Lytechinus pictus: one gene and its partners. The protein of the gene in region 4 binds, or shares a complex with, the protein of the main gene of each other region. Links are inferred from orthologs where the notes say so. Each region holds a gene or a part of one and is shown on either strand. Other genes may lie near its edges. The genes, in order: THO complex subunit 2-like, THO complex subunit 7 homolog, THO complex subunit 1-like and chromatin target of PRMT1 protein-like.

Region 1 (7,949 bases), on a different chromosome or scaffold from region 4:
CATCATAAACGATGTAAGAGAGTAACGCAATGAGCTCCGTCAATAGTACGACCTTTCAAAGTTCACGGCGGCATCCGCTATCACCACGAGGTTGAAAATAAAATGCATATCATCATAAACGATGTAAGAGAGTAACGCAATAAGCTCCGTCAATAGTACAGTCTTTAAAAGTTTATGGCGGGGTCCGCTATCACCACGAGGTTGAAGAGAAGATTTATATCATTATAAACGATGTAAGAGAGTAACGCAGTGAGCTCCGTCGGTAATACGACCTTTCAAAGTTCACGGCGGCATCCGCTATCACCATGAGTTGGAGGAGAAGATATCTATCCTCTTAAACATCGCCATAGATAATACCGCGTCTTTCTCCCTGAATAATGCGACCTCTAAATAGCTAGCACCTCAAAAACAATCTTGAAATATGTTCTGAGCGATCACGCACTGTAACCAGATCTACGCCGATTTTTTTTTTCGATTTTTTCCTTCAAGGGGCATGATCGAAAATCGGCAAGTGATTGCCGATTGTGGTGAAATCGAATGGAATCGGTTGCCGATTGCAAAATCGGTTACAAGCTTAGGTCAGACCATGATTTGGACAAAGCCCTTTTTTCGTTTGCAAATTTTTGACTGATAATGATACAACAGAAAATTGATCTTTATCGATATTGGAAACAAAAAAATTAGAGCACAGTTTTGGGGAGGACTAAGAATACTGACTTGGACAGGAATACAGCTTGACATAAATAAAAATTCACAATTCAAAACGAAAGAACATTTTTAATGCATTGCAAGAAACTTTCTACTCAATCACACATTCCAAAATTAAGGGTATGTCCTTTCATTAAACACAAACATGTAGTTGATTTGCAATTGAACATAAGTTTCTTGCAATGCCCCATAATTATATTTTGTTCTCAAGCAACTGTGTTATATGTTATCTAATGTGCTGAAGGTTAAGTGCCATATATGTTCACAATTTTTTATTCGAAAGGTATGATATATTTGTCCTTTTAAACGGTATTTGAATGTGGTTACGCCTTGTTTTTGTTTTCCACAGTAATTATTGCATATATGAACAGAAGTGAAATATTTGTTGTGAAGCACTGTATGAATGTTGTGTGATCATGGAGCTATGGTGTGATGGTATTATAATTAATTAATAATTTTTGTTATAAGACTGTAAACCTGTTGGATGTGAGGGAGTGGCCTGGATGAAAGGAAAGTGAGCATGTGTCGAATTACTGATTTGCATATGTTTAGACAATTAGAAGTCCACCCCACCAAAAAATTAATTTGAATTTAAAGAAAAATAAAGTATTGCAGAGAATTTCATAAAAACTATGATTCAAAATTCAAAAAATTACTATTTTGACATTGAGAAATTTGCCTAATTTTATAAAACAATTATATGCTCATCTTGGTCAATGTGCAAATTACAGAACCGATTATGTCACACGCACTCTAATTTCTTGTGTATTTTTTTGTTTGATACATGTACATGACATGTATATTTTATTTTAATTTTCATTAACAAATTTTGAGAGGGATTTTAATTCCTCCATTAACATTCGTAGTTTCCATAAACGTAACCTATTGTGATTCGAGAAAGATTTTTTACATCAAATTTGCTAAAATTTATATAATAAAAATGCAACAAAAATTTAAAAAGTAATTTGATGTGACATAATCAACTCTATTTGCATACCATTGTTTTGTGTATATAACTGTTTTGTGTTAAAACAGGGAAATTTCTGTATTTATTCAAATACTTATGAGTTGATGTGCACTTGACCTTTAACTCACTTCCCTTCCCACCCCTGCCCAAATACTAAATAGGTGTAATCAAGAACTTGAAAATCAAAAGCAGTGATTAAGAAGAAGTAGAAGAAAGTAAAAAGAGAATAAAGCTGGGTAGGAACGATGAAGGAATATGATTTAAAGAAAAAGCATAAACATATCCCCATCAACCCCCCCCCCCCCAAAAAAAAAAAAAAAAAAAAAAAACACAATCCGGCGGGTTCGAACCAGGGTCCTTGCACACGTCAAAACATAGCGCACACGTCAAAACATAGAGCTCACGCAATTCGCCATCGATCTCTTCCGTACTATTTCCAGGATTTTTAAGCTATATATAATGTTGTAAGTCTGTGCGCCGCTGTTGACCAATCAGAACGCGTCGGCAATTCTACTACAATTCCAATCATTTCGCGATGGACATTGCCGTGGTTTTTTGTGGTTCCTGACTTTGCTACATCATGAAATTTCATAATTCTTTTTCAGTCGTAAAGAAGAATGTCTACGCTTTATATTGAATATAATATCAATTTGACGCAAGTGTGATTTCGATGCAAAAATGCGCTGTTTATTCACATATATTTCTTGAAAAAAAATCATTTTTTCTAAGCTAAATATCGGTCTTCAAAATACATTAAATGTGCATTTTATTTAGCTGATCAGAAATTTCAAAGTTTTATCTATAAAATAAGACCAATTATGTGAGGAATAAACGATTCTAAGAGCAAAAAACACCGATCGGAAAGTTCGTCTTCACAGCTCATTACGTATGCATAACCACGGACGGCTATGCATACCGGTACCGCTGAATAAAATAGAGCACTTTCGGACGGGCTGCGGACTGACTGAAAATCCACTACAAAAACACGTTGTCGTTGGTTGTGAATTGTGCGAGGTTCGGTCCTCGCATACAATAGCGTGAGTGGAATTGACCATGATTTGTTGTCGCCAGACTATGCCTGGCATAGTAGATATGAATGGGAGAGCCTATGACTGAGTATAAATGAAAAATTTCGTGTAAAAATAAATTGAAGTCTGATTTAATTGACAACTTACAACTCATTTCTGCCACATTTCTCCCAACTTTTACAGACTTCGTCGTTGATGAGGTAACGCGCCATGTTAAATGTTAAATGTATGGATATCGGATACAAAGCTAAAGCTAGCTAGCTAAGTGTGTATGCGGCTCGTTGAAACTGTCGACCAATAATAGCGACTAGAACAAATATGGAGTATTGCGTCTCCGAAATGATGCAAACAAAAGGGATGCCAGGGAAATTGTATTTCTCCGTGAGGATTAGGATGTAGGATTGTAGGAAAGGATGTGATATAAATTGGGGATAGACGTGAAATAAAGCATGACTTCCTTGACATTATTTAACTCCTCGAATTCTAAAAGTTAATTTTAATTATTATGGATGTATAACTATGAGGAGGCTATGAAGACCATGGGCGGAAATCTGTCCCGAAAGGTAGAGGGGAAAACAGAGGCTGATCCAGCCTTCGCCAATAGGGGGGGGGGGCGAAAAATGTTTTCAGCCAAATGTTAATCCCCGATCGGCCGCTTGAAGGTAATTTTTGTCTGTTTCATTGAAGGAGTAGTCCTCGATGGTCACTTTTTAGCTTTATTCTTATAAATCAACATAGATATATAATATCATTGTCCTTATTTTTATAATGCGAGCGCGAAGCGCGAGCATAATTTTTTTGGGCAAATTTATGTATTTTTTCCTAAAACTTGAACATTCTGGGCAATGTTTGTTATCCTGAAAAAGATGTATATGCAAGTAAATATTTACTACGAACGCAAAGTGCGAGCAGAGGTTAACTGGTGGAAAAGGTACATGAAAGACTGCTTGCAGTTCATATCGAAAACTTGCATAGTGTACCGGACATGTGAAAACATAGCAGACGACGTTTGCAGACCTCGCGATCATCGTATGACTAGTGGTGCAGAATGTTCCATTGCGGCTTTATGGGGGAAATATATAGCATTACAGAGGGATAAAATGTATACACAAATAATGTTTCAGCGTAATTTGTTGTGTCAATTTCATAAATTATTGTTGTTTGAAGATTTAAAACGTCATTATAAAGTGACAGGAATAAACAAAACTTATTTTTTAGACTTACCTATGCAGTGGTAAGCTAGGATATATTTATATCCATAGTTTGGACTGACAAGGTATATATATTTATATATTCCTAATAAAATGTTCAGCACTGCAATGGAAAGAGCTAGAAAACCGCTGTGACTCGAACAACACACCGACGTACAAAAAATCTCTGTCCAGCCCTATATGTTGAATGCACGTCGAGCAGTGGCGTAACTACGGGGGGCATGGGGGGCACGTGCCCCCCAATCGGCTGGCCCCCCCCAAAAAAAAAAAAAAAAAAAAACGGGGAAAAAGAGAAAAAGAGGGAGAAACTGAGAGCAACGTAGTGGGAAGGAAGAAATTATTGTTAATTATGTTATATTATATTATAATTATGTCATGTTATATTAAATAGAAATGAAAAAAATATCATAACTTTATGAAACATAATTTGCTCAGGGCCTATGTCTTCATTGTCCCTGATGCTCGCATCGTCTGTTTAACGAGATATATAATCCTGTTGTACTAAAACCTCCCGTTTTCAAGTCAATTCACCAAATATATTTCCTCGCACTTCGAATTATAATTGTTTTATGTAGTGACATATCATTTTAAGGTCTTAATATAAAACATTTCCCGTCCGTGCTCATGTTCGCATTAGTGGATTAGTGAGATATGTCTGCTCTTCATGAATTCCTAAAATCAGTCCTTAAAATTTCCCTTTTTCTGATCTGAATATCAAAAATTTCAGCTTGCGCTCGCTTCATTTGGTTAGTGAAATACGCATGGTCTACGTGAATTCCTACAAACAAGCCTTAGAATGCCCCTCTTCAGGTGTGAATTTCCTAATTTTTCAGCTCGCGCTTCGCGCTCGCAATATTTGACTAGTGAGATGCGTATGATAATCATGACTACAAAAAGTATGTCTTTAGGTGTAATTCTAACAAAATCATGCAGCATGCGCTTGGCACCCGCATTAGAAGACTATGGTGAGATATATGTACTCTTAATGGATTCTTTTTAAAAATAGACCTTAAAATATCCATGTTTGGGGTCAATATATAAAAAAATTCAGCTCGCGCTTCGCGCTCGCTTCATTTGGTTAGTGAAATACGTATGGTCTTCGTGAATTCCTACAAACAAGCCTTAAAATGACCCTCTTCAGGTCTGAATTTCCTAAATTTTCAGCTCGCGCTCGCAATATTTGATTAGTGAGATGCGCATGTTAGTCATGATTACAATGACTACAAGTGATTTATGTGTTTGGATGCATAAAATTCTAACAAAATCAGCAAGTGCTTGGCACTCGCATTAGATTACTATATGGTGAGATATGTATACTCTTAATAGATTCCTAAAATATAGTCCCTAAAATGTCCGTTTGGGGTCAATGTATAAAAATTTCAGTTCGCGCTTCGCGCTCGCATTGTTTGTTTAGCGAGACAGGTACATATCATGATTACAAAAATTTGCTTATAATGTCCCTTTTTAGGTCTGAATATCAAAAATTTTCAGCTCGCGCTTCGCGCTCGCATTATGTGACCAGTGACATACATATCTGTTTAATGACACTGTCCTTTAAATGTCTCTATTAGGTCAGCATACCTAGCAACTGAGCGCGCTTCGCGCACTCACTAAGTGACTCAATATTTTTGCTAGTGCCCCCCCCAATGCCATGACCCACGGTACGCCACTGACGTCGAGTGTAGGTTTGCTCTTCGGACATCACTATCACAAAGAAAATCTCCTCTGATTTGATGATAAAAGTGCTCTATTTCCTTATTAACCAATCTCCATGGTTCTTTCATGAGTATTTGCCTTACAATGTGCCCTTTATTATAATCTGGGCGGAAATTCTTGATATCATCACCCACCGATGTGACGACGGATGTAATCCACCCGGGTACTATAAAAATGTCCCCCTAACCCATTATCCCAATACATATTCCTGACTATGGATGGTTTTGAGTGATTTTAATGTAATAAAGTGCCATATTTCCCACCAACTGAATGTAAACAAATTATGGTCATCTGATAGAAGAAGTTGTTAACATTCATTTCAGGGGGGCGGAAATTCTATCTGAATCAAAGCTTGTCCTTGATACACATTTGTTTGTGAAAAAAGGGTATGATGCAAGGGAATTCTGCGTGTTATAAGGGTGCGCGCGTGCAGCGAGGACCTTCTGTCCGCTAGTTTTCCATATGGCCATGAAGACGTTACATATTTCAACAATCAAAATAATGCGAGCGCGAGCTGAATTTTTTAAAAAAATTTACCCAAAGACTGGAAATTCTAAGCACTTTTTGTAACTTAAACATATAATAGGTATATAACTAAACAATTGATGCGAACGCGAAGCGCGAGCGGAAAATTTTGAGATTTAGACCTAAGAACGAGAGCTCTATTCATGTTTTGTAAATCATGAAAAGGATGAGTAATTGGGGGTCTTCCTTACACCCGGTCCTTAATGCGAGTGCGAAATGAAGCCAGAAAACGTTCATATAGTTTACGTTTAATTTGAATCGATCGAAAAGGTACTTGTTAAGGACTGCTTGCACTTACCCATGAAGACGTTACATATTTCAACAATCAATATATGCTAGCACGCACGAATCGCGAGCCAAAAAGAATCGAAATTTTTAATCAATTTTTGTAATCGTGAACAGGGTAGCTATATAAGTATAACTAAACAATTGATGCTTGAGCAGAAGAATTCAAGATTGAGACCTAAAAACGGGACACTCTATACTCATGTTTTGTAAATCATGAAAAGGATGAGTAATTGGGGGTCTTCCTTACACCCGGTCCTTACATTAATAATGCGAGTGCGAAATGAAGCCAGAAAACGTTCATATAGTTTACGTTTAATTTGAATCGATCGAAAAGGTACTTGTTAAGGACTGCTTGCACTTACCCATGAAGACGTTACATATTTCAACAATCAATATATGCTAGCACGCACGAATCGCGAGCCAAAAAGAATCGAAATTTTTAATCAATTTTTGTAATCGTGAACAGGGTAGCTATATAAGTATAACTAAACAATTGATGCTTGAGCAGAAGAATTCAAGATTGAGACCTAAAAACGGGACACTCTATACTCATGTTTTGTAAATCATGAAAAGGATGAGTAATTGGGGGTCTTCCTTACACCCGGTCCTTACATTAATAATGCGAGTGCGAAATGAAGCCAGAAAACGTTCATATAGTTTACGTTTAATTTGAATCGATCGAAAAGGTACTTGTTAAGGACTGCTTGCACTTACCCATGAAGACGTTACATATTTCAACAATCAATATATGCTAGCACGCACGAATCGCGAGCCAAAAAGAATCGAAATTTTTAATCAATTTTTGTAATCGTGAACAGGGTAGCTATATAAGTATAACTAAACAATTGATGCTTGAGCAGAAGAATTCAAGATTGAGACCTAAAAACGGGACACTCTATACTCATGTTTTGTAAATCATGAAAAGGGTGAGTAATAGGGGATCTTTCTACATTAATAATGCGAGCAGAAAATTTTTGATATTGTGATCTGAAAATAGACCGCGGGTCCGATAGACTTTTTTTTTTTGTAATAATATTTATTAATCATTCAGTTCAAAGTAATGGTACATTGTAAAATATTACAAATCAATATTAACAAAACACTGTTCACGAAAGACAAATAATTATCCATAATACAAATAATCGTACATGTCATGGTATTGTGGCGTAACCGAGCTCTGTCGGGGTAGCGTTCTGCCGTCTCGCAGTCTCCAGAACCCGGTCCACGCTTCTCCCCCGCTTCTCCTCACTTATATACCGTATGGGTACTAGTATTCAACCTGGCATAATTCAAAGATTTCGACATATTCCCCAAAATTTTTAGAAATAGGGAATTTATCTTAATTTCACACCTTTGTTATTTCCAGGGTAATCTGTTGTCGATATTTTCTTTGTCAATCTGTCGACTGTATGCGCGGAGGATCGAATTATGCGGCGAGCGCGTTTCCGTTTTACACCCTGGCGAAGGCATTTTCCGGAAAAATAGCCACAAAGCGACTAGTGAAGA
Region 2 (7,383 bases), about 19 Mb from region 4:
CGTGAAGATTTTCAATCGGAGCAATTGTTGCCGGAGCAAATGTCATGGAACCATCAGATTATCCCCCGCTTACCGGGACTTCCCCTTGGAATCTGTGTGTGTTGGATTGTTCCAGTCATTTAAAATTTTGATTTAAACTTCCTGTAGCTTTTTGTGATCAAGTCAATCTCTTTAACATTCCTGTGAAGCACATGTGTGATAAATAGGGACGTTTGTTGAACCCTAGGACTACGGTAGGCTATTTGAGATGTATTGAGGACTGGGGGGGGGGGTATCATCTTGGCTGCCATTCATGTGATTGTGCTGAAATTCTTTACCACATTAACTACAAGCCAGTACAAACAAAATTTCCAAAATTAATTATTTATTATTTATTATGGACAAAATATGCATATATATTAATGAAAAACATTATTTGTATATTTAACATCCAATTTCACCTCAAATTTTCTTTTGTTCCCAGATGTCATCTGTGTAATCTTATCTAAAGGATTCTACAAAAAATTGCAACTGTCAAATTTTTCCTTATGTATCTCTTTGTTTTTAGAATTTCTAAAGTATTTCCCTTTTTTTTTTTTTTTTTTCAGTGGAAATTATTAAAAACCATTTAACAACTAAATTAAACCCTAAATTAATCAAGCAGATCAATCAGAATAAAAAAAATCACCCTTTTATGAATTTCATCTCCCATAGACTTTGTACATGAAGTATAAAAATGAGCCATTTTCGGCATAATCATTGTCTGATAGCCCCCCCCCCCCTCCCTGTCCTTTTAGGGTTAATCTCATCTCATTTTTATTGGTCTTTCTTTTGCCATTTTGTAACTTTGGATTCTGAAACCAATCTCTTAATCATTGACATGTGCTTAGAGTATTGAAGCTAGCCTGTGTAAAAATATTGTTCATTTTGACAATGGAGCTATAATTTGTGCAGTGCCCTTGAAAGTTTGATCAGTTTCTTTTGGAACCCAGTTTATATATAAATTCATAATAAGGCAATAGTCTTTGATTTAATCACGATTAGGAATTGTTTTCATTCATACATGAACAAATAGTGGCAACATTACGATATTTTGCATTTATTTTGTCAACCTTCTAAGATCATGATTTGATCATTCAAATTTTCGATAGATGAAGTATCCTTTTTCATTTGATACACATTTCTTATCATTTAAACTGAGTTTGTTCATTCTGACATGAATTGAAAAGGAAATACTATGAATCCTTTATCAATTGAAGGCTTTATGTCCTCAATAAAAAAAAAATAAAAAAACCTGAATGAACAGGCCAGCATCATTTGAGCATTACAGGGTATGCTTCAGTGATCACAGAAAGGTACAGTAATGACATTTATTCACTTGATTGACCATACCCATTCATGCAAAGATGGAAATGATTCCTAATGTTAATTAAATAAGAGGCTATAAATTTCTCGTTGACATACCATCTAGTTGGTTCTTTCATTCCATACAGAACTAAACCAAAATTTTGTTAGAATAGATTACTTAATATATTATGGGGTTCAAATGATTTTGCAAGGAACAGTATGCCACAATCATCAACAGAAAACTAACCATTCTTCATTGCTCTGATCCGTGTGACACCATTTCACAAAGGTTTTGAGTAGATTACTGATTCTTCTATCATCACCTCCACTCTCTCCTTCAATAAGCAGCCTTTTTCGTATCACTTCCTCTGTAAGTATGAAAAAAAAAAGGATATTCAATTATCATTCACCTGAATACTAGTAAAATTGAATTTTTATACATAACGAATAATAATACTTAGGCCTCATCCCCAGCAAAAGATGAGATTTATCAAATTTAATTTAAACTTTGATTTCAACCCTAATTTTGTCAGAACCAGAACTTTTTTTGGGGGGGCTTGTTAAATTGTTTTCTGAACAAAAATTGTCCCCCTCCCCCTTTGGAAAATCCTAGGTAAAGTGAACAAATATTGAACAGTGCCAAATATCAGACAAAGATGACTTCAAAACATTCTAAACAGCTAAAATTAGAGGCACACCGCATATATTGGAGACTTTCTCCAATATGGGAGACAATCTGTCCTATTGGGGATAAAAGAAACAACACCAACAAGGCAGTTATTCCCTTCCAAAAGTTTGTCTTGCTGACATTAAAATCCCATTTAATTTGTGTGTAAAGAATCTATTGCAGATAAAAATAAAACTGTTTGTAAAATAAAATTGATGTAAATTTTATAGTAGATGGTGAAGAGGAGTAAATTTCACGAGGAATTTGCACATCACAGGTTTGTTTGCCAGCAAGGCAATCCCTAGACAGCTGGCAGCCGGCTGTTTCGAGGATTTTAAAAACATTCATTATTTTTTAAATTTCTACACAGATGGCTCGCGATCGTGCAGCTACCATTTGAAGGTTAACAATGTAAAATCCCTCCAACGGGGCTCATCAATTTCTGTCTTAATTTCATAAAAATATATAAATAGAACTTGACCAAAATAAAGATTATTATTCCATTTTGGCCTGAAATGCACCAAAACAGGAAAAAATAAACTTAAAACGAAAAAAAAAACAATGACTAATACTTCGGCTGTCACGCAACTTCCACTTCCCTTGGTTATTCGAACTGAATACATAAAAATATGGCCATTGAGTCCCTGTGCAGATCGAGTTAGAACTTCGGTCTCTGTAATTGGTGAGTGGAGCCAACGGAGTTCAGCGGAACAACCAATATAATACAGACAGAAGCTTTTGGTCTAGGTAATCCCTAGAGCTGCCTCATATAATGTAAACAAAAAAAAATGGTCTCCCAAAGTGGAGACATTCTCTGAAATTGGATACCAAAATCATCTACAAAATCGATGCAAAGCGTTACACGAAGTCGGCAAAGTGAGAAAAGTGAAAAAACTACCCCTTCTTATCAAGAAGCTCTTATTGATATAATGGGAAGAATTATTCAGGAAGGATTTTGCAAAATTTTTTCCCTCCAACCGCGAGGGTGGAAGCAGGGTAGAATCACAACTCCAACCCATCTGAGCCTCGACAGATGATGATGATGATCCAACGCATTTATATTGCGCCATATTTCTTTTAAAAGCATTCAAACAGGTAGGTGCAGGCTCATCCAATTAAGCTAATTATTACACATCTGCTGAAATAAGTGAGTTTTGAGAGACAATTTGAAGAGCTCAATGTTGTCAATTTCACGGAGTGAAGAAAGGAGTTCCAGAGGCCTGGAGCAATAAATGAAATCCCATATCCCTTTACGACGTTCTGTTAAGATGCTACCAGTGTACAGTCTGGCTGAGATGCTTGAAATTGCACAATAAACTATTAAAATATGGTGATTATTTACCAACTAAAATGTAAGATAATTATTATTTGTTTAATAATAATTTCTCCACATTGTTCTACAAAATGGCTCCTCATAATGTAGCTCATCCTAGCTAGAGGTCTATGTCATAACGAAGCAAGTCAAAGGTCAAGCCTATTGGCTAATTTCAAGTTCGGTGTTGGTGTTGATGGCAATACAATACCATTCTCAGCTCAGGTGAGTGGTGACCAAAATTTTTCGAAAGAGAGTGATTGGAAGCTGATAAAAAGGGCAACATATCTTGGCAAAAATATTACATCTTTATTTGTAGGTATTTGTTTATTTTTGGTGGAGGTCTGATGCATTTTCAGAAAATATTGAGTATGATATGATTGAATTTATGAAAAGTTTTTGGTAATACGATCCAAAAATACCATACACTGTCACTGGCTTAATCTACCTCAAGTGATGTTCATGTAGGCTCCAGACTCCACTCCACTTCAATACAGCTACACTACACAGGTAGGTGTAGCGGTGGTGAAGTGGAGCCTACATTACAGTATGGCAGTGTATCCTACTGCCGGACACCTTTATTTCAGTGCTTTAAAAATGACAATTAGATTAGAGGAAATACAATCATGAAAATTTCGCACTTGCTATTCCAAATAGTATGAAAATTATGAATATGATAAAATTATTTTTATATTTACCAATCATTTTCTTTGCATCGCACTTGCCTCATACCCCTCCACGAAAAACAATTATTTTCGCATGTGACAAATTACATCATGATTGCGGACGCGAGCCGGATGGGTAAAGATATTCTTGATTATAATGATGTAAGGAAGAATTAGTGTGAATTTTTTCTTCATATATCATATCATGGGTATATTCTAAGTTTTTAGTTTGCTTTTTTTACATCGAATCTGAGCAGATATTGGTAATAAATTTGGGTTTGCTGACTAATTTTATTTTTTTTCTTTTTTAACTGCATGTTCCATGGCTACTATGCTTGTTCGTATCGTGACGCTAATCAAGATCTATCGATGCGCTGTCGATCGTTGACGGCTCTTATCACGTTATCACGGTAAACCTCGCGCAAGGGTATACCTTGAGTCGAGAACTAGCTAGCTAGCCGTCGATGATCACCCACAATACACCACACCTCAACATTCGATCGAAGGGGCGCGCAGACGAGATTTAAATTCGTCAAATCAGGCCCATATTTCCGTCAGAAAATATATCAATTGTTCATGCAAAACTATGTTATATGATATTTTAAGCATTTTCTGTCATTTTCTGTTTCTGTTTCTGTTTGTGGTAACTCTCGTAGGAACTCGGCAGGACAGCATTTTGCTGGTAAACGCCAAGCTGGCATATAACCAATTACCTATGAAACATTTTACGTCTAGGTTAATCAGTCATAGTGGCTGACGTTATAGACGACAGATATCACTCTCGGGCCTTTTTATCAAAGTGGAGACAATGGCAGAGTTGGGATTCGAACTCACAACCTTGCGATTATGACTCCAATGCTCTAACCACTGGACCACACAACCCGTACTTTATTTTAGAGATAAATAAGGTAAAAGTTGGATTTTTTTGCCTTGTTTTTGCAATCTTGTTCTATGTATTGCTCTGTGAAATAGAACTGTGCAATAGTTACAGTACAAAATTGTTTTCGTACGCAGTAATATGCGCGTCCATAATCATGATAGTGTCCTGTAATACAATACGCGACTATACACGAACATCAAGTTGAGGTCACTCACACTAGATCTCGTGGTTCATGTAGTGCAAGGTAAGTCACCTCGCACAAAGAGCCACAGTGGATTTCTAACTAGTGGGTCGCGTGTGCTGCGACGCCACTTCTGGCGTCCACAACACACGACTTCTATGGCTTGATTTTTCTGTGCGCGGCGGCACGTAATAAACCCCATGATCAAGCCTACCCCTGCGGAGCTGCATTGAGGCACTTGCTCACTGCAACCATCCTGCCTGTGGGGAATCTACAGGTAGGACTATGATATGCCAATGCAGAACACAACACGCACTTAAAAAAATCATGAAAATAACACTTTTGTGACCAAAAATACTAATTTCCATACAGTTGTAATCTATTTTTTTATTAGTAACTTGGGAATAATTTTTGTATTCACTAGAGCGCTCAAAAACTTGAATTTTGGGATTATTTTTGGTGGAAAGTTTTTTTGTTGGAAAGTAATATGGCAAGAAATTTTTCATTTTTCAATCTCTATTTTTAATTTAGAAAAAAGAATCAAATTTACTTAAGAGTCAAGTTATATGATTTTTTTCATTTATCCTCTTAATCGAGGCATTTATTCACATTTATTCACAATAACATGTACATATATATATATACAAAAAAAAAATCAATTCAATTCAATAATGCAATACTATTTTGAATATCACATTTTTTCAAAATTCAGATTTTTTTTCTTTGTTGATATAAACTTTCTAAATAAATAATCATAGTAAGCTTGAATTCAATCCATAAAGAATTTGCATATTTTTTTCCTTTGAATATGCTTTTTATATAATTTTGATAAATAACAAATTGAACAATAACACAAAATTATAGATTACACAAAACATAGCTGGAATTTTGCAGATCATAACCTATAATTAATGTTTTTCATCTATAGAAATAATAATCTTGAAAATATAAAATACCAATCTTTCTATAATTTTCCAAAATAATCTAACATATTTTCAATACAGTATAAAATGAAAAGTGGTATCAACTTCTCCAGAAACAAGTGGAATGCCTCTGGCCGTCTCACCTGCATCACGCGATTCAATATAGCAGCAGTGCTGATTTTGAAAACTACTATAACTCGCACAAGATGTTCAGTGATACTTGGTTACTTCTATTTCCACGTTTTATGAACTAGACCAATACACTTATAGAGATATGATGGCAATTCAACAAATACCCCCAACGTGGCCAAAGTTCTTTGACCTTACATGACCTTTGACCTTGATCATGTGACCTGAAACTCGCACAGGATGTTCAGTGATACTTGATTACTATTATGTCCAAGTTTTATGAACTAGACCGACACACTTTCAAATTTATGGCTGTAATTCAACAAATACCCCAATTTGGCCAAAGTTCATTGACCCTAAATGACCTTTGACCTTGATCATGTGACCTGAAACTTGCACAGGATGTTCAGTAATACTTGATTACTATTATGTCCAAGTTTCATGAATCAGATCCATAAACTTTCAAAGTTATGATGGTAATTCAACAGATACCCCCAATTCGGCCAAAGTTCATTGACCCTAAATGACCTTTGACCTTGGTCATGTGACGTGAAACTCATGCAGGATGTTCAGTGATACTTGATTAACCTTATGTATAAGTTTCATGAACTAGGTCTATATATTTTCTAAGTTATGATGACATTTCAAAAACTTAACCTTAGGTTAAAGGAGAATGAAACTCTTGGAGCAAGTTAGCTTTTGTGAAAGCAGAAAAATCAAAGAATGAGATCAACAAAAGTTTGAGTAAAATAGGACTAGCAATAACAGAGTTGTGAGCATTTCAATGTCGAGATCACTAATGCTATGGAGATCCTCCCATTGGCAATGCGACCAAGATCTGTGATGTCACACACGTACAACTCTCCCATTTGAACACTGAAAATATACCCCAAAACATCTCTTTTTGCTCATTCTAATCATATGACAAACGATTCATCAATGATATGATGTTGTGAAACCTCTGTACTTGTCATCTCATAAAGAGAAGTTCAAGTTCAAATCAAGTTCAAGTTCAAATTTATTCAAACCAATCAAGAACAAGAGACATATCACATTGTTTAACAAAAATGTGCCTAGACTCTATAAAAGTGAGAATATAAGTGAAATAAGTACTAAAGTAATGAGGGAGTTGTACGTGTGTGACAGCACAGATGTTGGTCGCATTGCCGATGGGAGGATCTACATGGCACTAGTGATCTCAATATTCAAATGCTCATAACTTTCTTATTATTCATTCAATCTTCCTCAAACTTTCAACAATATGTTTCTTTTATTTTTCTTTTTTATATGGATTCAGCTC
Region 3 (7,741 bases), on a different chromosome or scaffold from region 4:
CCAAACTCGACTACAACAAAAAAGAAAAGTTATTAAAAAAGCATTAAAAAAAAAATAGGGGTCTAGCATGAAATAAAAAATGAAGAATGAATTTTTTTTCAAACTTATAACAGTTTTCTTTACATATAACAGTAGTACAGCTACAGATAAGAAGATAACCACATAATGAAATATAACAAGAATTAGACTACTATCAAATATTATACTTCATTTTCAATGAATGTGGCCATAAAAAAATTGTTGTCACCTCCAATCCCAAGGCAAACTGACATTTGACAAATTCAAAGAGACTGTTCTCTAATGTATGGTGTCTTTTCTATCATGTAGCTTTGTGAAATAGATTTCAGTCTGCTGAAAATAATTGAGCCGCCTACAGCTAGAGGCATAAAACACTCCTGACAATGACAAGAGCCTGAACAAAAAGGGGGGAACAAAAGTAAAAAGTATCAAAAGACGACAAAAGCTATATAAAAAAAAAGTACAAAGACAGTCATGACTGTAGACCTCTACTAGAACTCTTGGGGGGGGGGGGGGTGTTTCACAAGATTTAGCATGACTTAGACTTAGAGTCGCACTTAAATGCCTAGTTGCGTGCGGTATAAAAGGCATAACCACATTGGTCAGATCATGCAAAGAGGAGGTGCACTACTGCTTATTGATCAATTACTGAATTAGATTGCGCGCGTTTAATTTAGATACGTGTTTGCATTTAAGTAGATCCTACTTGCAATTGTTAAACATCCCCTACATGTACTACTTACTGCTACTGCTTAGTGTGTCATGTGTGCATATTAATGCAGTGTTGGTATGTTACTATGTAGTCACAATGCAGGAGGCTCCTGGAGAGTAAAAATCTTTCTACTAACGTAGGCTTACTCTGCACGGAGCCAGGGATTGCGTCCCATTCATGCGCGTGTACCGCAAAAAAAAATAAAACTTTCGCCCCAGAAATTTCTACTTTCTTTCTAAAAGATCTAGCCCTAAATCATGTAAATGAGATACAACTTCAGTCTTCATTTCCGACATTTCTACGATATTGATTTCATTTTTAAACAAGTATTCATTAAAAATCAAGAAAAATATTATGAAAAGACTGGGAAAACTTGCCACCGATATCGCGATATGCGTGCTGTCATCTTGGCGAATGACAAAGAAAACAAGATGGCCACGTAAACACGGTGGCAAGTTTTCCCCGTCTTTTCATAATATTTTTCTAGTTTTTTTAATGAATTCTTGTTTAAAAATGAAATCAATATCCTACTCGTAGAAATGTCGGAAATGAAGTTGGACTTGTATCTCATTTACAATACATGATTTAGGGCTAGATTTAATCGTGTAGAGTTTTAGAAAGTGCAGATCCCTCCATCTAGGTCATCAGAATACCCATCATCAGTATCATCTAGATGGAGATGTGCTGGAGGAAGTTTCGGAGGAAAGAGACTTGGGAGTCATTATGGACTCTCAACTGAAATTCCATTCCCAAGTAGCCAACGCAGTCTTGAAAGCTAATCGTGTGCTTGCTATGATTCGACACACTTTCTTGCATAGAGACAAAGAAAACATCAAAAGGTTGTACAAGTCACTCGTGAGACCAATTCTTGAATATGCGAATGGAATATGGTACCCAAGATATGCTTCTGACTTGAAGGCTATTGAGAAAGTCCAGCGACGAGCGACCAAGCTAGTACCAGCCCTGAAAGAAATGGACTATGGTAGAAGACTGCGTGAAATGAAATTACCCTCCATCAAGTACAGACTGCGCAGAGGTGACATGATACAAACCTATAAAATAATTCAGGGCATTGATGATGTGAATAGAGACCTATTCTTCACAACAGCTACCACTCAAGCAACGCGTGGCCACCCTTACAAGCTATTTTTGAAAAGGAGTAGACTGGCAGTGAGACAAAACACCTTCAGTGTTAGAGTGGTTAATGACTGGAACTCTTTGCCTACTGAGGTAGTCACAGCATCAACAATCAATGGCTTCAAGACAAAGTTAGACAAGTTCTGGTCTGCGTGGCATTAATTATGTTCACGCATGGGAATAGTGCCTTTTTCATTTCAATACATTGGCACAGCACATTGCACAAATAGCAGACTCAGTTTTTCGAACTTATCCAAGCTAGGAAGACAACAAGATAGACCTGGAAACTTGACTGCAGGAACAACTTTATTTTTCCAGTAGATGCGGTATAAAGGTATAAAGTAAAAAACTCTGCTGCAGTCAATGACGATGTGCAGTCTAGTCTGACTCTGGAGACTGGACTGGGGCGAAGCCAAGCAAAGGCCAAAGCCAGGCCCAAGGTTTAATTTTTTTTGCGGTAGGCCTAGGCCTACGACGTTACGTATTACACGCGCATGAATGGGACCCAATCCCTGCTGCTCCTAAGAGAGTAAGCCTACGTTAGAAAAAGGATTTTTTACTCTCCAGGAGCCTCCTGGCTACACGGATATGGCAATAGCCAACAGACAAGTCGGGAAATTAAAGATTTAAACACAACAAATTTTACAATATATGGGACAGCACACAGTGACACTCGCAGACATGACACTCAGAATTTAACAATGGATTTAACAAGATGAAATAAGCTTAAAATGATACAGAGCCAAACTAAAATTTTGATCCAAATGTACAAGAATCAAAACATGAATGATTTTATAGAATAAATAAATGTTTAGATGGTCAGAAAACATCTTACCAAGTATTTTACCCTCGAGGCTTCAAAATCAAACTGTGACTCGGAGGCCGCCATGATTAATTTTATTAGTTTCAGCTTAGGATTTTTGTATTTAAAATAAACGAAGTAAAACAGAATTAAAGAGACCAAATTACCAAAATAATTACCGCCTTTTCGTTGATTTTAAAGAATAAAAACAATCGTTGTTATGAATGTCAGGAATCGGTGTAAAAGATATGAAAATAGAAAATATCTAGTCCCGAGTCAACGATTATGTAATTAAAAGTCTTTTATTAAGACTATTTTATTCATTTCGCAAATTGTCAACACGCTGACTGTCGCGCACTGGCTGTGCATAGACCATAGTTGTGGAAAGGATTTGATTTTTAACATTCTTCCTTACAAGTATGGATTCCAAACTGGCTGCAAAAGTAAGCGGCAACACATCGAATATCAAGTTCGAGGTAAATTTACGTAAAGAGAGCCCAGTCAGCGCCAGGCTGGGCGCTGCACTGGACCCATGACATGCCATGATCCCTCTGGCATGTCTGGCTCTGGCTCTACCGCCCCAGCCCGGCCCTAGCCCAGGGCCAGGCTAGGGCCTAGCTTGACCCGGGGCGGTAGCGCGGTAGCGCGCGCTGGGTGTCCATTGACAGTGTAGGATAGCGAGAGCCTAACTTAGAAAGAAAGAAAGAAAGAAAGAAAAAAAAGAAAGAAAGAAAAAAAAAGAAAGGAAGGAAGGAAGGAAAGAATCAGCCGCCGTGAATGAGTGAAAGAATGAGTAAATCAGTAACTAATGAATCATGAGACATGAGACATGAGTGAAACGAAAGGTGAACATGAATGAATTAAAAAAAATGTCAATCATGAGACATGAGTGAAACGAAAGGTGAACATGATGAATGAAAAAAAAAATGTCAATATTTTTTATTTTGCGTCCTAGCTTGTAGGTCTAGCTTAAATAGAAATTTTGTCCTTTACGTCATATGTCATCCCCTAAAAAAATTAGACTCAATATTGTATGCCACTGGACCCCCCCCCCCCCCCTCCCGAAAAAAAACCTGCAGCACAGCAGAGAGCAATATTTTTGTTAGTCATCCTTCCAACTAATGCAGGGACTCGGTTTTATAATTATAAGGGGAGCAATAAAAAGCTCTCCTAGAACTTTTAAGGAGAGCGGTAGAGGAGCACTTCAAAAAGCTCTTCTTCAACATACAAGGGGAGCTTTTTGCCCAATTAACAAAATGGATGGAGGAAATGTATGTACTATAAAATTACAATCAACAACCAAAGGAAGTATTTATAATTGTTTTACAATGTATTGTAATTAGATTGTGTGTTGTAAAACCTGTTTTAGTTAGGTTTTGACTTTGGCTAAAAGTTAAGTCAAAACTTTTTTTTTTTTTTTTCGGGGGCTCCATTTTAATTTTTTTGTCAAATTTCGGGGGCTCTTTTTAAATGCTACTTTTTTGTATTTTGAGGAATACCTGTTCACTTATTAAGGAATTATTACTTTTTGTTTAATATTGTATGATTTTTAAAGTTATTTATCATGTTTAGAATCTTGGATGTGGGTGTGTGTGGATGGGTGGGTGTGTGTGGGTGTGTGCGTGTGTGTGTGACTGTGAGTTGGACTTGGATATAAATGAATTCAATATCTAATTTCTACTCCATTTATTCCAGTACAATACCCTAGTCGTACAGTACATGTAATAAAGGCCCATCACATACCCTAACTTTTCCTGAAGTTCTTTGAAAACGCAGATCTCCATGAAAATTTAATTTCTCTATGGGGGAGTCTAAATTTGGTGAGAATGTATTCATTAAGAACTTAAATATACATGACAATGAAGAAATCATCAAACTTTATTGGCAGTTTTGAATAATATTCCTGAAATGTAAACTCTGTCTGAAACAGAAAATCACCATCATTGAGGCCTTTACTGAGCGAATTGTCCCCCAGAGCTCTGGCAGAGAGACAGAGCTCCAACTGGCTAGCTAGTAAAAGCGCCAATGCGTGAGCCTGCCGCCGTCCTTGTAAAAAAGATGGAGCTTTGTTTGATGATTTATTGTCTGATATAATACCTCATCCCCTAGAAAAAGAAAACAAATGATTTTTTAGTTATAATTGATAAATTAGATAACTTATTTTGGAAGTTAATAAGCCGTTATGAAAAGCAAAGCCGAATGACAACTCACCAATGCTAGGTTACTAGACTCTGGGATTTATTTCCTGTGTAATTCGAATTATTTTATCACAGAATTGTGATATCTGTAGGGGAAACATGTGCATTCGAAATGGCACACGGTGGTAGTCATAATGGACCCCTATACATGCAACTCTTTCCCGACCGATGCGTTGATTTTTTTTTCCATACCTGGTACCATGTGTATGGAAATACGTGGTACAGAAAAAATAACGCAACTTCGGAATTTGAAACTGCGCTACTCGCTACTTTTAAGGCTTATTCGTGATTTTGAGTGTGGATTTTGGATGGTTTTTAAATGGTAAGCGGAGCTCGAGCATATGGCACTAGTGGGCCGTTGAGTTGTTATCACTCTGCAATAATTTCGGGGGCGACATTCAGATTTTATGTCGCCCCCGAAAGCATGATTTTGGGTGATTTCGAGGGCGACTTTAGGCATTTTCGCGCAGGTCAGCTATCGCGAGGCGCGCTATTAATCGCGCTACCAAAAATGGATTAAGGCGCGCATGTAGCGCGCGATCGCTCTCGCGCGCCTTAAAATCGAGTCCCTGTAATGATTGAACACCAATTGAGATTTGAGACCTGTGATCTCCCACATGGGAGCCTCTACCTTTGAGTTCTCAACACTAAGTGTCTACCGAGGAGACTACTAGGGCGTGAAACAGGCCCAAAACGAACAACAACAAGCCTCTACTGTTCAGAGTTCCTGTCGAGGAAGGCAACCTTGCCCAGATTTGGGTCATGTCTAAGTTACTTAGCCATAAATTATACCATGCTTCTTCTTCTTCTTTGTTGTTCTTCCCCCGGTATTCGAGGATCAGCGGCTATCCGCAGGTTGGTTGTTGTGTTGAAGCAATTTCTCTAAGCGAATATGATGAATTTTAAGAATGTATCTGAGGCAGTGGGTCATGACATTGGCAGCAAGAGTGACAGATAGGTGCGAGGAGGGTAATAAGATATTAGTGGCAAGGATGAGGGGATGAGCAGAGGTGAAGGCTAATTGGCTAACAAGCAGGGAGGCTTAGAGATGGGACATGTTGAATGAGAACAGACCGTTGGGGTTTGAGAGTTGGGCAGGAAGCAAGGAAGTGGGTGGAGCTTTCTTCCTCCGTTGAGCAAAGTCTACAGGTGGCGCTGGGAGACTTGCCTATGGTCTTCAGTCTTTGTTGTGTTAGGTAGGTGCCTGTCAGAAGTTGGGAGCGAAGTCTTGCAGCAATACGGAGGTGTGAAGGTAGTGCAGGGGGGAATATACTGCTAGGGCTTGGAAACGTTGAACATTGCTTCCAGAAGGCAAGAGTGTGCTTCTCCTGAGTGGCATCAACTAGGCCAGCATTGTGCTTCTTGAAGATGGCCTGGCGGCACAGTCTTTTCCAGGTGAGGTAGTCGAAGCTCAGGGAGCCAGACAGGATGGCAGGCAAGCTGTATTTGGCGATTAGCTGCTTCCAGTAGGAGATGAAAGGGACATCGGCAGCGAGAGCATTTAGAAGTATTCTGTGCTCAAACCTATCGCTTGGTAAAGTAACCAGTTGCCCGAGAGTCATCAAGGTGTTCAGGTCGATCTGCATATAGAGAGAGGGATGATTCCGGTAAGGAGAAAGACTGCCTCGTTTGCTGTGCTTCTGGGGAGCCCTAGGAACTTTTTGAAGAGAAGGGCCTGCGCTGAGTCTAGCTTATCCCTGGACCTCTTGCTAACTCTAATGGCAGCAATGCCATATAGCATCCTAGGAATGCAGTAGGTGGTCCACAACTTGGCAATGGTTGGAGGCCAGAAGTTGTTTCTTGAAGCCGAACCACCTAGCAGAGCGAATATGGAGTTATATCCCTTGGCAATGATGTTCGGCGCAGGATCTTGAGATGTTGAAGATTTGGTGACACCAAGATGGGGATGCTGACTGACTTCTTGAACTTCCTCTTCATTCAGGTACCAAGTGTGCTTGAGGTGGTCTTGCCCATTAAAGACGAGGATTGCACTTTTTGATGGGTTGATCTTGTACTTCCATGTGGTTGCATAGGTATGGATGAGATTCAGCATGCATTGAAGTTCTTTGGCTGAGGAAGCTATGAGGGCCACATCATCAGCTAGAACAATTACCCCAGCATACAGGTTTTGGCAGTGGCATCCAAGATCTTTGTATCTTAGCAGCTTAATCAGGCCATCAATAAAGATGTTGTAGAGAAGAGGGGAGAGGATTCCTCCTTGTCTCACACCCTTCTGAAGAGGAAAGGAGCAGCTGGCATCTCCTTTCCATAGTACTCTGCTGGATGCACCATTGTACATTTCCACCAATGTAGACTGAGCTTCCAGTGGTATAGGAGTGTCAGCTAGCTTTTGAAAGAGGCCAGGGTGCCAGACACAATCAAAAGCTTTAGCAGCATCCAAGAGGGCAAGATATGTTGGCTTCTTCCGAGATGTATTCAGCACAATAAGCATCTCAAGGGTCAGTGAAGCGAGAATACAGGACTTTGAGGCTTGGAATCCAAACTGAAGTTCGTCAGGTGTGTTGACTTCAACCAAGGAGTCCTCAATCTTAGGTTTTAGGGCAATTTCCAAGAGCTTTGATAGAGTTGGGGTCAGGGAGATGCCTCTGTAGCTAGAGGGTTCGCTGACCGGTTTGCTCCCTCCTTTGTGCAGTGGGATGATCACTGCTTCCTTCAATGATGCTGGAAGATGTGCCAGTTTGATGGAGTTTTGGAGGAGAAGGAGAAGAAGGCGACGGAAAATTGGACCTGAATGAACCAGATGCTCAGAAGTTATGTTGTCGAGGCCTGGGGCTTTGTGAAGCTTGAGTTTCCTAATGGCTGTGTCAAGATCATGCGAGTTGAGAGTAAGCAAGACTTCTTCTGCACCTTCTG
Region 4 (6,928 bases):
TCTGTGCATCTACTGGAGTACCACGAACACATTTTCGTGCAATGGTCATGCAGCTTTTATTGTGCCTATTGTATTTTGAGGAGTGCAGTGCATGCATGAGTGATTCCATTGTTCAGTTCAGCTTATGGTCAAGAGGTTTAACATTGTCTCAGGAGTGATTCCCCTTTTTTTTTAATAAATAAAACAATTAAATATAGACTCTTTGAAAAAAATGGCACTCGCTGATTACAGTGAATGGCACATTAAGAGTTAAAGGGCAAGTACATCCCAACCAAAATTTGACTGGAATAAAAAAAAAAGTAATATCAAACATGCTTCATTTTATTACAATATTGCTTCCATTGACGAGTGGATACCATGCGCGACCAAGGGGTCTTGAAAAGCACCCTAAACAAGTATTTTTCATATTCTGCAAATGCACCCCTTATAGTATTGGTATGTGAAACCCTACCTTTAACAAGTATTGGAAACAAAACGATACCCTTGTCAAGCATTCCCTGAATTGAACCCCTAAAGTACAGCGATATTTCAATTGTTAAATCACGTCGGTTTTACCTTTACCTACATGTACATCATTGGGTTTAGTGTGGCCCCACCTCCCACACCTCGTGCAAATCAGGCTCTTAACACGTAGCGTTGACTGTTTGGGCAAAAAGTACATCGCTTATAAAACATTTGTCTTGTTTATACCCTTGCAAATTTGACCCTAAACACGTAGCTTTTCTAGCGATATAGATAGGCCTACCCTTTTTTCATTATTTTAGTGTTTTTGACACCCTTATTGCGTTATGTACATGTATGTAACGTGCCCTATCTTGAAAAAGACATCCTTTTCATGGGTTATTTTGGTCTATTGAATTTGTGTTCATAAGGGTACTATTAGAGACGCAAAAGATGTCTTCTTTTTATTTAAATTTGATGAGATATCTAAAACTTGCTCCCCCTCCCTAGGGAGCGCGCTCTTTAGAGACGGCTCACGATCGTGCAGCAGCTGCCATTAGGGGGATTAACAATGCAAAATCCCCCCCCCCCCCGACGGGGCTCATCGAATTTTGTCTTTATTTCATAAAAATATATAATAAGAACTGGACCAAAATAAAGATTATTAATCCGTTTTGGCCTGAAATGCACCAAAACTGGAAAAAGTAAACTTAAAAGGACAAAAACAGTGATTTACTTCGGCTGTCGCGCAACTCCCACTTCCTTGGTTTGTCTGAACTTGATACATAAACATATGGCCATTGAGTCCCTGTACAGATCGAGTTAGAACTTCGGTCTCTGTATTTGGTGAATGGAGCCAATGGAGTTCAGCGATTTGCGTGCTGTCGCCAAGTGAAAGACAATGAAATCAAGATGGCGACCTAAACACGGTGGCAAGTTTTTCCTGACTTTTCATAACATTTTTCTTGTTTTTTAATGAATTCTTGTTTAAAAATGAAATCAATATCGTAGAAATGTCGGAAATGAAGTTGTATCCCATGTACATGATTTAGGGCTAGATATCTTAGAAGGAAAAAAGAAATCTCGGGGGCGAAAGTTGGAGGTTTTTTGGCGGTGCGTGAAGATGAATGCAATCAAATCCCTGGCTTCGGTGAGAGTAAGCATACCGTACGGTACGTTAGTAAATGATTTTTACTCTCTAGAACTTAGCCTCCTGGGTAAATGGGCTATGTACGAAGAGAAATTTAAAAAAACTCCTCGAAACTGACGGCTGCCTGCTGTCTACTATACAGTGCGTATTAAAAAAAACGGAACACTTTTTGAAAAGTCTATAAAAAATTGTTTCAAATTATGATATCTATATTTTTATGTTAATAAATGCTCTGAAATCTTATCTTTGAAATGCCATTTAAATTAATAAATTTTGTTCACGCTTGAGCGAACATGGGACGTTTTTGTCGGGGGTTCAAAAAGAGGCTTGCGCCAGAAATGAGAAATTTGCATTAGCCAATAAATATTCATTAGCTAATGCAAGTATTTAGCAATTCACGATATTCATCAGCCGATGGATTTTTTTTTTTTTAATTGGCACTGCTCATGATATCGTCGCCCGATCTTATACGCGTCTTGTAACTAGGCTACGAACAAAGAAGGAAAATGGCGACAAGATCATCAGTGAGTATCTGCTCATCTTCTTCTTACATAATTTTTCTTAATATTTCTAATATTTATCGTTTTTAAGTAGGGCCTAGGCCTATAATATAAATAAATGTACGTAATGGGGGGATTTGAACTTGTTGTCCATGTACATACAGACATAAGTGTGTGGCTAGCAAGTTAAACAAATCAAGTATTTTGGAGCAACATTGTTTTCTCCAAAAACTCTCCTTCGTGTGGCCCAATGCCTTCCGTGGCAGGCGTCATTGGGAGTAGGCCTACCGGTAAGCCTACGTCTACGTAGTAAATAATTTTTACTCCCAAGACGCCTCCAGGCTAACCGTACACGAACACCATCGCTCAGACTCTCAGTTGATCTATTCATGACCGTACAAAATACATAATACTTCCATTCGGTTTTGATCCTTCTATCAACTAATTAAATGAAATATAAATGTGTTACATCCCAGTGAGGTTAGAAAGTTAATATGTCGGTACATACCGTAATTTACGGGCAAAAAAAGACTTCAAAATTGGCTTGATGGTTGATCTGTGTGTCGTTAGCGTCGTCGGCGTATTACGTACGTGCGGAAATCCTTGCAAATCGGCCACGAAGTTTGCGGCTGCATATCACTGATCTCTCCGTGCTGCATATTAACCCAGGGAGACTCCCAGCTCGATATACTCAACAAAAATGTAAGCCACCCTTAATCAAACTGCTGTAACTTTTGAATGGAATAATTTGAATATATAATATTTACATGAGATCTTATACACGCGTTGAGTGAATCCAGTGAAAAAAATTAGATTGATCGGTTCAGTCTTGCATAATTATGACAGACCATTTTCAAAAGTCCACAATTTTTCGGAAATTTGTTTATATGGTGACTGAATATGGTGCTTCATGATGCTCTTTTACTATCCATTACTATTCCACAGTGAAAATGAAATCCATATGTTCATTTTCAACAAAATTTTGCACAGTTACTTCAGCATCTAAATATTCTGAATAAACATAAAAAGAGTTCATCATTTGCCCAATCTTCTGTTCTCGAGAATGCCGTTCAAAGGCTTTATGTATTTTTAGATTGAGTTTAAAGGGATGGTCCGGGCTGAAAGTATTTATAACTTAATAAATAGAGTAGAATTCACGGAGCAAAATGCCGAAAATTCCATCAAAATTGGATAACAAATAACAAAGTTATTGAATTCTAAAGTTTAGCAATATTTTGTGAAAACAGTCGTCATGAATATTCATTAGGTGGGCTGATGATGTCACATCCCCACTTGTTATTTTGTATTGAGGTGGGATTCGAACACAAGACCCTCTGATTAGGGTCGGAACAGCTACACCACGGAGCTTTTAACAAAGTATTATAAAAGAAATTAAACGAAAACTAGAAGACCGGGTTCAAATGTTAAAAATAGTTGCCTGAACAACACATTCCCTGTTTTCATGAAAACTATCCACATATACTTAGAATATCAATATGTTGTATTCATTTAAATTAATCATAGAATGGAATGGTTGGAACCTGTGGAACTGTCATTATTTGGCCCATATCTCTCCGCATCGCTTGCTAAAATTGTTCCTTAAATGCGTCATTCTGCGTCGTGAATTAAATTACCATTACAATGATGGTATGTCCCGATCATTTTGAAAGTGCGCCTTAATCATTAAGTTATATATGAAAATAGGTTTATTCATTTTTTTTCCTCCAAGAACTAGAAAAATTGGATTGACAACTAATTACTGGCGTACCTATAGGATTTTCCAGAAGGGGGGGCAAATTTTTGGAGGATATTTCGTCCGCGAAAAAATTTGACAAGCAAAAAAAAAAAAAGGTCTTCCTTCCAAAAAAAAGGGTTTCTTACCAAAAAAATATTTGACAAGCAAAAAAAAAAAAAAAAAAAAGAAGGTCTTCCACCAAAAAAAAAGGGTTTCTTACCAGAAAAATATCTGACAAGCAAAAAAAAAAAAAAAAAAAAATAGCAAAAAGGTCTTCAGGTTAAAAAAAGGAGTACACGTCTGTTTTTATTGCATTTTTACATTAAAATTAATTAATTTGGCTTCTCAAAGGGGGGGGGGGGCTCGTCTGTCTGTATCAGTTGTGACTTGTCAGGGGGGCAGGGATACGTCCCCTGCATGAGTTGTGACTCGTCAGGGGGGCAGTCTGCCCCCCCCTTAGGTATACCGTCTAGTGCAACTGATTTAGTGCATTATATATTTATTGCTGCAACTTATTTCATTATAAATTAAGGGAGACATTACACAAGTATGAAATAATGACAAAAATAATTATTATAACATAAGAAAACGGAAAGTGGGGATGTGACATCATCAGCCCACCTAATGAATATTCATGACGACTGTTTTCACAAAATATTGCTAAATTTTTAACTTCAATAACTTTATTATTTGTTGTCCGATTTTTATGAAATTTTCGTCATTTTGCTTAGTGAATCCTATTCTAATAATATTTATGTACTAAGATATAAATATTTCAGCCCGGACACTCCCTATAAGCATCTTCATGTATTACTCAGTAAAAATTAATGTAAATTTCATCAAATTTCACAGTATCATTCAGAATTGAATCATATCGCTATTCGTTATAGCCCTCTCGAGGCGGGGGGGGGGGGGTAGGGGGACAGCCTGCCCGGCCTGGCGCCATTTCTTTCGCGGGGGAAAAAAATGGCGTAGGGGGCGGGTCACTGAACTGGAAATACGTATTTTCAGTTCAGGGGGGCGGGTGCCACAGACGATGGAAAATAAAATGAAATTTAAAAGGAGAAAAGAAACGAAATGAATTAATGAAATACGATATGTTATTTGCTGAATATATTAATGTAAAAATCACATATTTTTAGGATTTGTTTTCAAATCGGAATTTTTTTCTGGCTCACTGGCGACTTTTTACAATTTTGTTACAGTGGCTGTGCCCCATTAAAAAGAATATGTGGTTCATTACGCAACTGCTTTTCAATTAATGTGTTCATGTAAAAGCTCACCCCGCGATTTGATTAAAATTTCTTTTCAAAAGAACTATGGCTCGCTTCGCTCGCCGCTGGCGACTTTAAAAAAAAAAAAAATTTGCTATGTTGTGCCCCCTTGAAGTATTATTACGCAACTGCTTTCAATAACTAGGTCATGGTTAATGTGTTGTGTTAAAGCTATATACCCTGATTTGATTAAAAATAGCGGCCATGCATGTTTATAAGGTTTTAGAATGCACTGCAAAAACTCCGGTGTGATTTAATTAACACCAGCCCGGAATAGTATATGTCCACATGCACCAGAGAAGTGTTAAACAACACCAGTTTCGTTTTGGTCTAACACCAGAAAGATACGTGTTTATACAACACCAATTAGTATTAAAACAGCATCAGTTTGATTCTAAACCGTTGTTTCAATACTTCACTGGTGTGGACATATCCCGGGACATATATAGATTCCGGGCTGGTGTTAAATCAACACCGGAGTTTTTGCAGTGTGGGTTCCGGGGGCCCGTCGGGGGCCCGTGATCCGCATAATAGCACTACCAGATTCAGGGTTTGGGCCACTGACGGTCACCAATATAGTTAGGCCTATATAACTAAGAACAACAACAACAACAAAAAAGGATCAAAGAAAGATAAGCAAGTAACTTAAATGGAAGACTAGGCCTATTTTCTGAATAAGGTGTAAAAATCTATCTCAACCTTAGATTCCGTCATGAAAAAGTGATTTGTTTATTCGCTCGCTCGATCGGGACTTAAGCAGCTTTTTTTTTTGCCACACGCCGTATCGCCGGGGCATGTGCCCCCCCCCCCCCTCTCTCTCTTTTTACTCATCACGTTACCGTACTGCGGCATAGAAATTGCCCTAAATATGGCCCAAATCAGGCTCCGCACAATACAAAAAAATCCTGTTGAAAGTGGCGAACAGGTGGAGATAAGATATATTTTCTGATTATGTCAAAATCTATTGATGTTGGTAATAAAATTGTCGAAATGTTTGCTTGCTTCGCTTTATCGTAACTTAAAGCTGTGATTTTTTTGTCTTCTATGCCAATTTTGCAGTATATAATATACGCCACTGTCTGTTCATACAATTCGGATACAATTACAACCGAGAAATGTTTGACGACCCTTTTTACGCCCCTGAGGCTAGCAGTACCTCCAGTTACTCTATAAAATGGTGCCAAACGATCACAAAAAACCTATCTCAGGCTCAGCCCCTTTTCATTCTGGATGGTATAGTATTATAATGTAGACTGTCAGGATAGCGCTAGAGCGCGAGCGAAAATTGTACGGCTGAGTTTTTCGAGGACGAAGCGGAACTACAACAGACGTAGGCCTACGTATGTACGTCGTGGTGGTGGGAATCCGGCAGCAAGCGGTACCGAGATCGCCGGGCTGGCCAGGGGGACGGGGGCGCGCCGCGCCCGTACGCTACGGTCAAAGTGTATCTTTGCTACGGTACGCTGGCGCGGCGATCCTGGGGGCGCAGACGCGACCTCAGATGCATCAGAGCTGGCGCTGTACTGTGATACCGTATATGTGTACAGCTAGCTAGCTGTGTAGAATACTGAAGTGAAGAGAGTTGTTTGTTATCCCATTACCGTTGCGTTGTGATCGCTTGCCGATATAACTTGACCAGTTTTGCATAAATTTAGACGACTGGAGTGAGGTGACCTTGGATGTGACGCACACAAGTTTTGCCATCCAGCTCGGGATCATTCAACCTCAAGAATTAGGTATAGATTGATAGGCCTAGGCCTAAATCTATATTTTCTCCACTCTGAATTATTATTATTATTAACACTAACACTTACTTACTAATAATAGT

The links.
Region 1: chromatin target of PRMT1 protein-like (region 4) and THO complex subunit 2-like share a complex: the UniProt entries of both Homo sapiens proteins name them as parts of the transcription/export (TREX) complex. The link is inferred for Lytechinus pictus from reciprocal best matches to the Homo sapiens genes CHTOP and THOC2.
Region 2: chromatin target of PRMT1 protein-like (region 4) and THO complex subunit 7 homolog share a complex: the UniProt entries of both Homo sapiens proteins name them as parts of the transcription/export (TREX) complex. The link is inferred for Lytechinus pictus from reciprocal best matches to the Homo sapiens genes CHTOP and THOC7.
Region 3: chromatin target of PRMT1 protein-like (region 4) and THO complex subunit 1-like share a complex: the UniProt entries of both Homo sapiens proteins name them as parts of the transcription/export (TREX) complex. The link is inferred for Lytechinus pictus from reciprocal best matches to the Homo sapiens genes CHTOP and THOC1.

Annotation. Positions count from the first base shown.
Region 1 is NW_026974140.1:1,412,912-1,420,860, forward strand, and holds the start of THO complex subunit 2-like, read right to left. Parts: upstream 3,001-7,949; 5' UTR 2,916-3,000; coding exon 2,851-2,915; intron 1-2,850. UniProt on the Homo sapiens protein: Component of the THO subcomplex of the TREX complex which is thought to couple mRNA transcription, processing and nuclear export, and which specifically associates with spliced mRNA and not with unspliced pre-mRNA.
Region 2 is NC_087247.1:45,236,473-45,243,855, forward strand, and holds the start of THO complex subunit 7 homolog, read right to left. Parts: upstream 3,020-7,383; 5' UTR 1,574-3,019; intron 1-1,573. UniProt on the Homo sapiens protein: Component of the THO subcomplex of the TREX complex which is thought to couple mRNA transcription, processing and nuclear export, and which specifically associates with spliced mRNA and not with unspliced pre-mRNA.
Region 3 is NC_087261.1:24,315,184-24,322,924, forward strand, and holds the start of THO complex subunit 1-like, read right to left. Parts: upstream 3,010-7,741; 5' UTR 2,757-3,009; coding exon 2,703-2,756; intron 11-2,702; coding exon 1-10. Other genes in the region: uncharacterized protein LOC129279903, read left to right, coding at 3,089-3,145. UniProt on the Homo sapiens protein: Component of the THO subcomplex of the TREX complex which is thought to couple mRNA transcription, processing and nuclear export, and which specifically associates with spliced mRNA and not with unspliced pre-mRNA.
Region 4 is NC_087247.1:25,760,115-25,767,042, forward strand, and holds the start of chromatin target of PRMT1 protein-like, read right to left. Parts: upstream 3,025-6,928; 5' UTR 2,600-3,024; intron 1-2,599. UniProt on the Homo sapiens protein: Plays an important role in the ligand-dependent activation of estrogen receptor target genes. May play a role in the silencing of fetal globin genes.